Linked DNA regions of Xenopus tropicalis. The protein of the gene in region 2 interacts with the protein of the main gene of each other region in a pairwise test. Links are inferred from orthologs where the notes say so. Each region holds a gene or a part of one and is shown on either strand. Other genes may lie near its edges.

What was found.
Region 1: the proteins of gad1.1 (region 2) and haao interact in a two-hybrid assay, tested with the Homo sapiens proteins (4 studies listed by BioGRID and IntAct). The two-hybrid records come from large-scale screens. The link is inferred for Xenopus tropicalis from reciprocal best matches to the Homo sapiens genes GAD1 and HAAO.

Annotation. Positions count from the first base shown.
Region 1 is NC_030681.2:17,291,983-17,296,252, forward strand, and holds the start of haao (3-hydroxyanthranilate 3,4-dioxygenase), read right to left. Parts: upstream 2,935-4,270; 5' UTR 2,853-2,934; intron 1-2,852. UniProt on the Homo sapiens protein: Catalyzes the oxidative ring opening of 3-hydroxyanthranilate to 2-amino-3-carboxymuconate semialdehyde, which spontaneously cyclizes to quinolinate.
Region 2 is NC_030685.2:68,065,825-68,070,263, forward strand, and holds the start of gad1.1 (glutamate decarboxylase 1), read right to left. Parts: upstream 2,880-4,439; 5' UTR 2,593-2,879; exon of another isoform or gene 2,581-2,592; intron 1,202-2,580; 5' UTR 1,135-1,201; coding exon 1,065-1,134; intron 1-1,064.

The DNA.
Region 1 (4,270 bases), on a different chromosome or scaffold from region 2:
ATACAGAGAGAAAATGAGGGAATTATTCCTTGGCCCCCTGCTTCTGTTTCTTAAAAAAAGGCTTTAGGTCTTTCAGTCAGGAGCAGACTCAGTTGAGTTGCTGACGGTTTCAGTCAGCAATTGTGCATTCCTGTCAGGCTGATGCCACACGAGGCATACGGCGGATATTATCAGAAAGCGTAAAAGCGCTTGCTGAAAATTCCGCCCTACGCCTCCTACATGTGCCTGCACCGGAATGAATGAGATACGCTCAGGTGCAGGCACATGTAACCGATATCCGTATAAAAACGCGAGATAATGCAAAGTCTTGCGTTTTCATGCGTATTTCGGCTATATGTGCCTGCACCCAAGCGTATCTCATTCATTCTGATGCAGGCACATGCAGGGGCAGGCCAAGCCGACCAGGCACCCAAGGCACCTCGCCCCTACACCTGCAATGACTCATCGCATCACACAGACCCTGCCCCCCCCAATTGGCACGCATGCGCAGTTCTAGGGGGGTGCGATGCAATGGGTAATTAGGGGGCGCCAGGCAGGAGCCTCTCCTGCCTACCCCTTGTCCTCCTCCTTTGTCATTGCCCCCTGCCGCCTGTCATTAGCCCCCTAACCGTTGCGCCCTAGGCAGCTGCCTCTTCTGCCTACCCCTAGTCCTCCTCCTTTGTCATTGCCCCCGCCGCCTGTCATTAGCCCCCTAATCGTTGCGCCCTAGGCAGCTGCCTCTCCTGCCTACCCCTAGTCCTCCTCCTTTGTCATTGCCCCCGCCGCCTGTCATTAGCCCCCTAATCGTTGCGCCCTAGGCAGCTGCCTCTCCTGCCTACCCCTAGTCCTCCTCCTTTGTCATTGCCCCCGCCGCCTGTCATTAGCCCCCTAATCGTTGCGCCCTAGGCAGCTGCCTCTCCTGCCTACCCCTAGTCCTCCTCCTTTGTCATTGCCCCTGCCGCCTGTCATTAGCCCCCTAATCGTTGCGCCCTAGGCAGCTGCCTCTTCTGCCTACCCCTAGTTCCAGCCCTGGGCACATGTAGGAGGCGTAGGGCGGAATTTTCAGCTAGCGCTTTTACGCTTGCCGAAAATATCCGCCCTACACCTCGCGTAGCATTAGCCTTAGGGGTGCACCGAATCCAGGATTCAGTTCAAGATTTTTTTTTTTGACAGGATTCAGATTCGGCCAAATCCATGCTCCAAATCCTAAAAATCACATGCTTTTTGTCACATAAACAGTAGTTGAAAATTTAACCCTACCGTGCCCTAATTAGCATTTGCGAATGAAAGTTAACCCTTCCGTAACCTAATTAGCATATACTAATTAGGATTTGGTTTGGTATTGGGCCGAATCCTTTATGAAGGAAGCCACGTTTAGCACCTGGCTGATATTTTACCGGCCCGTGTGTGATAGTTACTAATACACCTGTTTCTAATTGTTGGGTGGTATGCATTGATCCCACTGCTACGTCTGGGGTTAATTCAGTACCTGGAATACCTGGATATTTTCTTGTAAGATGGAGCCAGTGGCGTAAAACTAATAACCTGCGTGTATTGGGCACACGGGGCAGGGCAATCAGCCATCCTAGAATGAATCTGGGGAGTGGGCACTGGGCATGGGTAGTAATTCCAGGCTTGAAAGGGCTAAGATAAGGTATATTTTCAGATATATTCTGTTATTTTTCATATTTTTTTTCACTGCCCATATTGTGCTATTTTTGGGCTACTTTTGAAATGGCTTTTAGCTAGTTTTGTGACTGACTGGTTTTAAAAATAGACTGGTTTCGGAATTAAGATGGCAGTAGTTCTGATGGATGGAGAGATTTGCTCTTCTTTGTGTGAAGAGAAAAAACTGGGCACAGACCTCCAGTTTTTTTGGACTTCCATCCTGCCCTGCTCTTTTGCCCATAGGGGTGTTTTTACTGTATTACATGCAAAAGCTAGGGAGTGCCAATCAGAGCAAGACGCAGTGTTTTTGTTTACTTCCTGTCTATGACACACACAGCACTGCACTTAGCACCTTGCGCCAGATGCCTCAGGTACAGGTGCTCTGTGGATAGGGGTGTCATATGAGGCACAATTTGGCTTAGGGCTACACCACTTGCATCCGTGCGATTTGTAAATGAAGCCTGAAATGCAGTGCTGGTTGCGCCACAGTCTGTAGAGCCACAGACACTCACTATTTATTGGGCCTGTTTGGGCCTCTGTGTACATGAAACACCAGGGCCTAGTTTGAATCTCAGTCTTGACCTAATTGACAAAAGTTGGCCTACGTCAGACAGGGCAGGATGGGGCCATGAACAGAGCTTGGCTTGCAACACGCTAAGAAAGAACCTTCCTAACCTGGCGGTTTCTTTCTTAGCATGTATTTTACCGGCCTAGTCTGCAAAGATTATGCTTGATGCCAATGTTATTATTAGGAAAAATGAAAAAATATAGCAAAGCTGGTATGTTTTCCAAAAAAGCTGGCAACTTTAGTTTCAGGCCATTCTGTACATTAAGAGGTGGGCAAAGTTGTATATTGGTGGCCAATGGCGGCCTGAATCTGCATGCCAAGTCCTCTTGCCTGGACTGCACCACAAACCCCCACATCTGAATCTATACCTTTACCTCATGCTCCACACTGCCGCTCTCCACTTGTTCATTCCCATAAGTATTTGGTGTGGGACCCCCAAGAGACAGAAAGTGTCGAAATCATGGTATGCTATTAAATAAAAACTCAGAAAAGTGACTCACCTCCAAGGGGTTCTGTTAGCCCCTTGTATAAATTCAGCTTTTAAATTTAAAAGAAATTAACCCTTTAAGTGCCTGAAGACTGTAAATTTGGCTGCCCCGGTATAAAGGTACAAGCGTGCCACCACCAAGTATCTTACCTTTCCGCTTGGTACTGTGATGTACGATACAGTGCGTTTACTTGCGGCCAGGCTGCCAACCTCCCAAGGGAGGGTAACTGCTGTTACTGTTGGGAAGCGAGTGGTTAATGTACTGGCTGCAAAGCTCACGGGACTCTGATTCAGAGTAAAATTGGGAACTAAATAGCAGAAATATCATTACTTTCAGTTTCAGGTGTTAATAAATACAAATGCACTCCATTTAGAAACCAGTACTCCTCATTTTGGTAAAGTTTTTACAAGAAGTCCTCTGCGTTCACTTATTAAGTTCATTAAGCTACTAGGAAATGCCCTTCAACAAAACAGGGATTGTTTGTGCATATATTGCAATATATATAAGTTGGCCAACTATGTCAAAGGCATCCCCGGCCTGGCCAGCCCTACACTCACTGTCATTCATCTGATTCGTTAAGAATTCTACTCCTTCATTATACATTTTTCACAGGGACTAAGTCTTACTTGCAACTTGTTTGCTTTCAAGGTTATACCCCCCCCCCAAATGGTTGCCTTTTTATTGGCTCCACTGGGATCACCTGACTGTAGCTGGGAATGATGGGAGCTAGAACATGGAGCTGGCCCCTTCCCCTGTATAAACAATAGCAAAAAAGGGGATGTTGTGGCTGGTGATGTCACCGGAGCAGGGCTATGATGTGGCTATTGCCCAATAACCGTGTCAATCTCAGAGAGTCCTAACCACAAGAGGTACTCTGCACTCAATTATCAATAGATATAAAAAATGTCCCACTTTAAACAAAACAGGGATTGTTTGTACATATATTGCAATATATTAAAGCAGCTCCCATCATTCCCTGCTACATTCAAGTGATCCCAGTGGGGGCCAATAAAGAGGGCAACTATTTGGGGGTTTTAACCTTGAAAGCAAGCAGGTTGCAGGTAAAACTCCTGTGAAAATATATAATGTAGCAGTAGAATTCTTAATTAATCAGATGAAGTGAGTGCAGGCTTGCACCTTGGAGCCCATTGCTGTGGCCGTCTTTTGCAAATACAGGTATAGGACCCATTATCCAGAATGCTCGGGACCAAGGGTATTCCGGATAAGGGGTCTTTCCGTAATTTGGATCTCCATACCTTAAGTCTACTAAAAAATCAATAAAACATGAAATAAACCCAATAGGATTGTTTTTCATCCAAAAAGGATTAATTATACCTTAGTTGGGATCAAATACATGTACTGTTTTATTATTACAGAGAAAGGGGAATCATTTAACCATTAAATAAACCCAATAGGACTGTTCTGCCCCCAATAAGGGGTAATTATATCTTAGTTGGGATCAAGTACAGATACTGTTTTATTATTACAGAGAAAAGGGAATCATTTAACCATGAAATAAACCCAATAGGGCTGTTCTGCCCCCAATAAGGGGTAATTATATCTTAGT
Region 2 (4,439 bases):
CAGGGGGTCTCTAGCACCTCTGGGCTGGGCTGAGGCGCAGTCACATGGGCGGAGTATTGGGGGGTGAGGGCTAAATAAGTGACCCCAGAAAGGAAAAGATTAATTCGGATATATGAATTCAGGCAACACTGTATCTCTCATTCCGTAACCAGCGGGGACAGGCAGAGAGCATTCTGGGTATCTGATCAACCCCACAGTCAATTACCCCCCCCCCCCCCCACCAAGACCGTGTATCCTATTCCTTACTATACACTATAGCCACACTATAACCACACTATAGCCATCACTGCTATTAACCCTTTCCTAGCTGGCGGGATTAGCTCGGCACCCAGCAGCAGAACACGAACTTTTAGAAGAAAACCAATACCAAGGGAAAGCTGGGCAGCTCCCATCGACTAAAGGTTTTTATCGGCTGATGAAGTCTATTCAGATTAATGCCATCTATTAGGAACACAGTACAATGTCCAGGGAGCTCAAGGCAAATGCCTTTATCGTCTCTTTCTCTGATTTGTGAGCTTCAGCCCCCCCTCCTTTCCATTTCGTTTCCGAATGATCCCAATAATGACTCTCTGTTCATGCATGAGAGCCCCTGCATCCTCCCCAGACTCACAGGGGCTGCCACACTGCCTTCCCTCTCTTTGTCTATGGCGATCCTGTCACCCACCTTCCCCCCTTTCTACAGAGTAGCCTAAATTGGCCTGGCAGAGCTGGGGGTGAATTTAACCCCCGCACACCCCAGCCTCCCTATTGCCAAGTACAATGGCATCCACTTAAATGTAATTTAGCCCCCAGTAGCTGTAATTACCAGCAAAATGATGGGTGATTATAGATTGTACAGAAAGAACATAAAACGAGCGAATTGCACAGACTGCGATTCAAAGCAGCAGCAAAATCCTTTCAGTCAGATGTCGGATTTATTTTTTTTGCGTTATATTTTCCTTTTGTGCCTTAAATAATTCTACCCTCCAAATATACCGATCCCCAGAGAGGAAAGGGGAAATTTCGTTTTTTTTATTGCATCCCCCCGTATTCTGCTAAACGAATACAAAATAGTGGTTTCCTACTTGTGGGTCGCAGATTAATTGGGTTGGTGTCCTGGTTGGTGTCGGACGATGAAGGGGAAGACGATGCCATCTCTCCAGTGACAATCCTTTTGGGCTAATGATTTCTCCTAATGTTCAGACTGGATAGGGAGATCCACCTCAAATAAAGAAGGGAAGTCATTGTTAAGACCAAGGAAGCACAGACTCAATAAATCCAACTTAAATGAAGATGCCAATGGCAAGTCTGGGTCCTGGTGGCAATGACCTAGATCCATAATCTGCTGCGAGCACTTGGCTAATAGTGGGAGAACATCCTAGGCCATCTCTGGCCATCAGGGATCCAAGGAGGCAAAAGTTGTTGGAAGTGACATTATTTTCAGGCTTTTTTGATTTTTGCCTAAGCGATGTGTCCTGTGTAGAAGGCTCAGCGGAGCATACGATCTCCAGTAATCATATTATGGGCACTGACTTGTGTCGGGGGGAATCGCACAGGGACTGGGGGATTGGTACAATAAATTATTTCAGCACAAAGGACACAGCGGGGTCTGTTAATACTGGCTTTATAGATATACCCTTTGTGTCCATTATGCCTTAACATTATTTGTGTGTGTTGGGCAGCACTGAAGGTAAGTAAGGGGTAAATACAGATATAAAAGGCTATTAGTGTCATAAAGCAGAAACATGTTAAACGTTTTTAAATGTGCATTTAAAAACACTAATGCAACAAAATTCTATCTATCATCTATCTATCTATCTATCATCTATCTATCTATCTATCTATCTATCTATCTATCAACTATCTAACTATCTATCTATCTATCTATCTATCTATCTATCATCTATCTATCTATCTATCTATCTATCATCTATCTATCTATCTATCTATCTATCATCTATCTATCTATCTATCTATCTATCTAATCTATGTATCTATCAATTTATAGACTCCGTCTCTATGTAATAATACAAAGACTTTGCTATATTGAATTTGTACGAACACGTCTCTAAAATAAACCTTCACTGATAAATTAGCCTTGTGCGTTTGTGTGCCTGATTGATAACTAAACAAACCTACAGAATGTGGTACATGGATCGAGTTAGTGGTGTCACCCTTCACAAGTTTTATGTTTCTTCCAATGAAATCAAATATTCATTAGAAATAAATTGATCGAGGAAGGGATAAGTGTGGTTTATGGGCACCGCTGGGAGCAAGGTGAGCTTTATATCTCCTTGAACTAGATGCCAGCGCTGTGAGCAAGGGATGGTGTAACAGGTTATGTGCTTACTTCTGCAAGAATTCCTACCCTCTGTATATCTGTATGTATGTATCTCTCTATCATCTATCTATCTATCATCTATCTATCTATCTATCTATCTATCTATCTATCATCAATATATCCTATTATCTATCTATTATCTATCTATCTATCATCATCTATTATCTAATCTGTCATATTTATATCTATATTTATTTCTGATATATATTTAAACTACCTATCTCTATCTATATGAGCAAATAATTAAATGAGCAGCTTACCTACTGCTGTACCTGGAGGTTCCCAAATCCAGAGCACTTAAGTCCAACTGGCTGGAGTCTGGACCTAGCAGCTTTGCTAGATAAACTCCTCTTTATAGAAATTCCAGAAAGGAAAGACGTTTGAATGTCAGTGGGGGCGCAGGAAGGAATTAGGGATGCCCCCGTCTCCTCCACAAGTGCTTGGATGTGCGATTTTGAAGGCAGGCAGGGAGGCAGTTGCTGTGTGTGCGCAGGCATGAGTCACTGACGCCTCCTCTAGTCCGCACCGTGTGTAGGGGGCACATCCCTTGCTGAGCTGCTCCCATGTCCAGCCACAGGCTAACGTGATTGCTCTGCACCCATTTGGAGGCAACACTGGGGCTATGCATTATACACCCAGCACCCACTTTTCCCATGGAAAAACACTCACCTATTATTCCCCCACTCATCAGCCCCCAGATTCCAATAGACAGACCCAGACGTGTGTGAGAGGTACAATTGTTATTCCCCTGGGTCCTGCTAAAGAGGTTCATAATCAGCATTTATTGTTATAAGACTACATGAAACAATATCGTCGTGATCGCCTAGAATGAATTAATTATCCTTGGCTGCCTTAAATCCCCCCTGACCTGCCCCCTTTATATTTACTTTTATTTTGCAATTTCATTACATTTTCTTCATGAATTTCTCAAAGTTTGTCTGCCTAAAGTGTAACCCATTTTTTTCCCTTTATTTAATCCGATTTACTGTTTCAGCACCTGCTAAAGGCATGCCCAGCATATACCGTCTCTTCAGGTTGTCCTTTTAATGTCATTAATTCCCACATATATTTTCATCTGGGTGATGGATGTTGTTTGTTTTGTCACCCAGTGGACACTAGAGGGCGTCGCAGTTCTAGCAAATAAATCTATTTCGCGAACAATGAGGCTTTTGCAATAAATCGTGCTTAACAATGTTTAGGCTCTGCACAGAGAACACCTATATTTCCATTTTCCCAGTGAAAGTGCAAAACAGGAAAATCTTATGATTTTATTTAAATCTTCATAGACTTATAGCTTGAAAATTATTTGCTAAAATAAAGCCATGTGTGCCTTAAAAGAAAAACACACACCGTTTATCTGAAATCGCAGGATTTTATTGACGTAATTGCCGGTAAAAGAGAAAGCGCCCGAACGCAGAGCGATTTCCAGGTTTCAGCACCATGGAGAGCGACGGACGCAGCCTGAAAAACACATTGGCAACTATGAGACTGGGCCTCCCTGTGTTGTTACACCTGATAATGCAGCACAGACATGTTTGTACTCAGTTCCCTGCTATTCTGTCTGTCCTGTCATCAACCAACCACCCAACCATCTCCTCTTCCCCCCTTCCCTCCCAATCTGTTTCCTATTCTCCCACTGCTTCCTACTCTTTCCCTCTTTCCACCTCTTCTGCCCCAACTCAGCCACTTTCTCCTGTTCAGCCTTTCCCTCCTATTACTTTATATAATTCCCTATTCATTATAACTTCTCTGTTCCTCTTAGCATTCCCTTTCCTGTTCCTTGGAATCCCTCTCTCATACTCTTCTCCCCTCCCAGCTCGGTACTTCTCCATACTATATTATTTTATTGATCTTTGTCCCTTCACGCCTGCTTCTCTTCCCCACACGTCTCTCCCTTGCATTCTCTAATCCTTCTCTTTCTCTCCCATTCACTCTTTCTTTTAATCACTCACCTATCTCTCTTTCCTGCCTCTCCCCTGCCCCATTATCCTGTGATATCTCTTTTTTTACTTTCCGCTTGATGTGAGGACCCCTGTCACTCTCTGCCCCCATCGTAACTCTTGCCACCCCAGCCCTGGCGGTTAGCCTTGCTCATTTGGTGCTTAGGATTTTGCCGCTT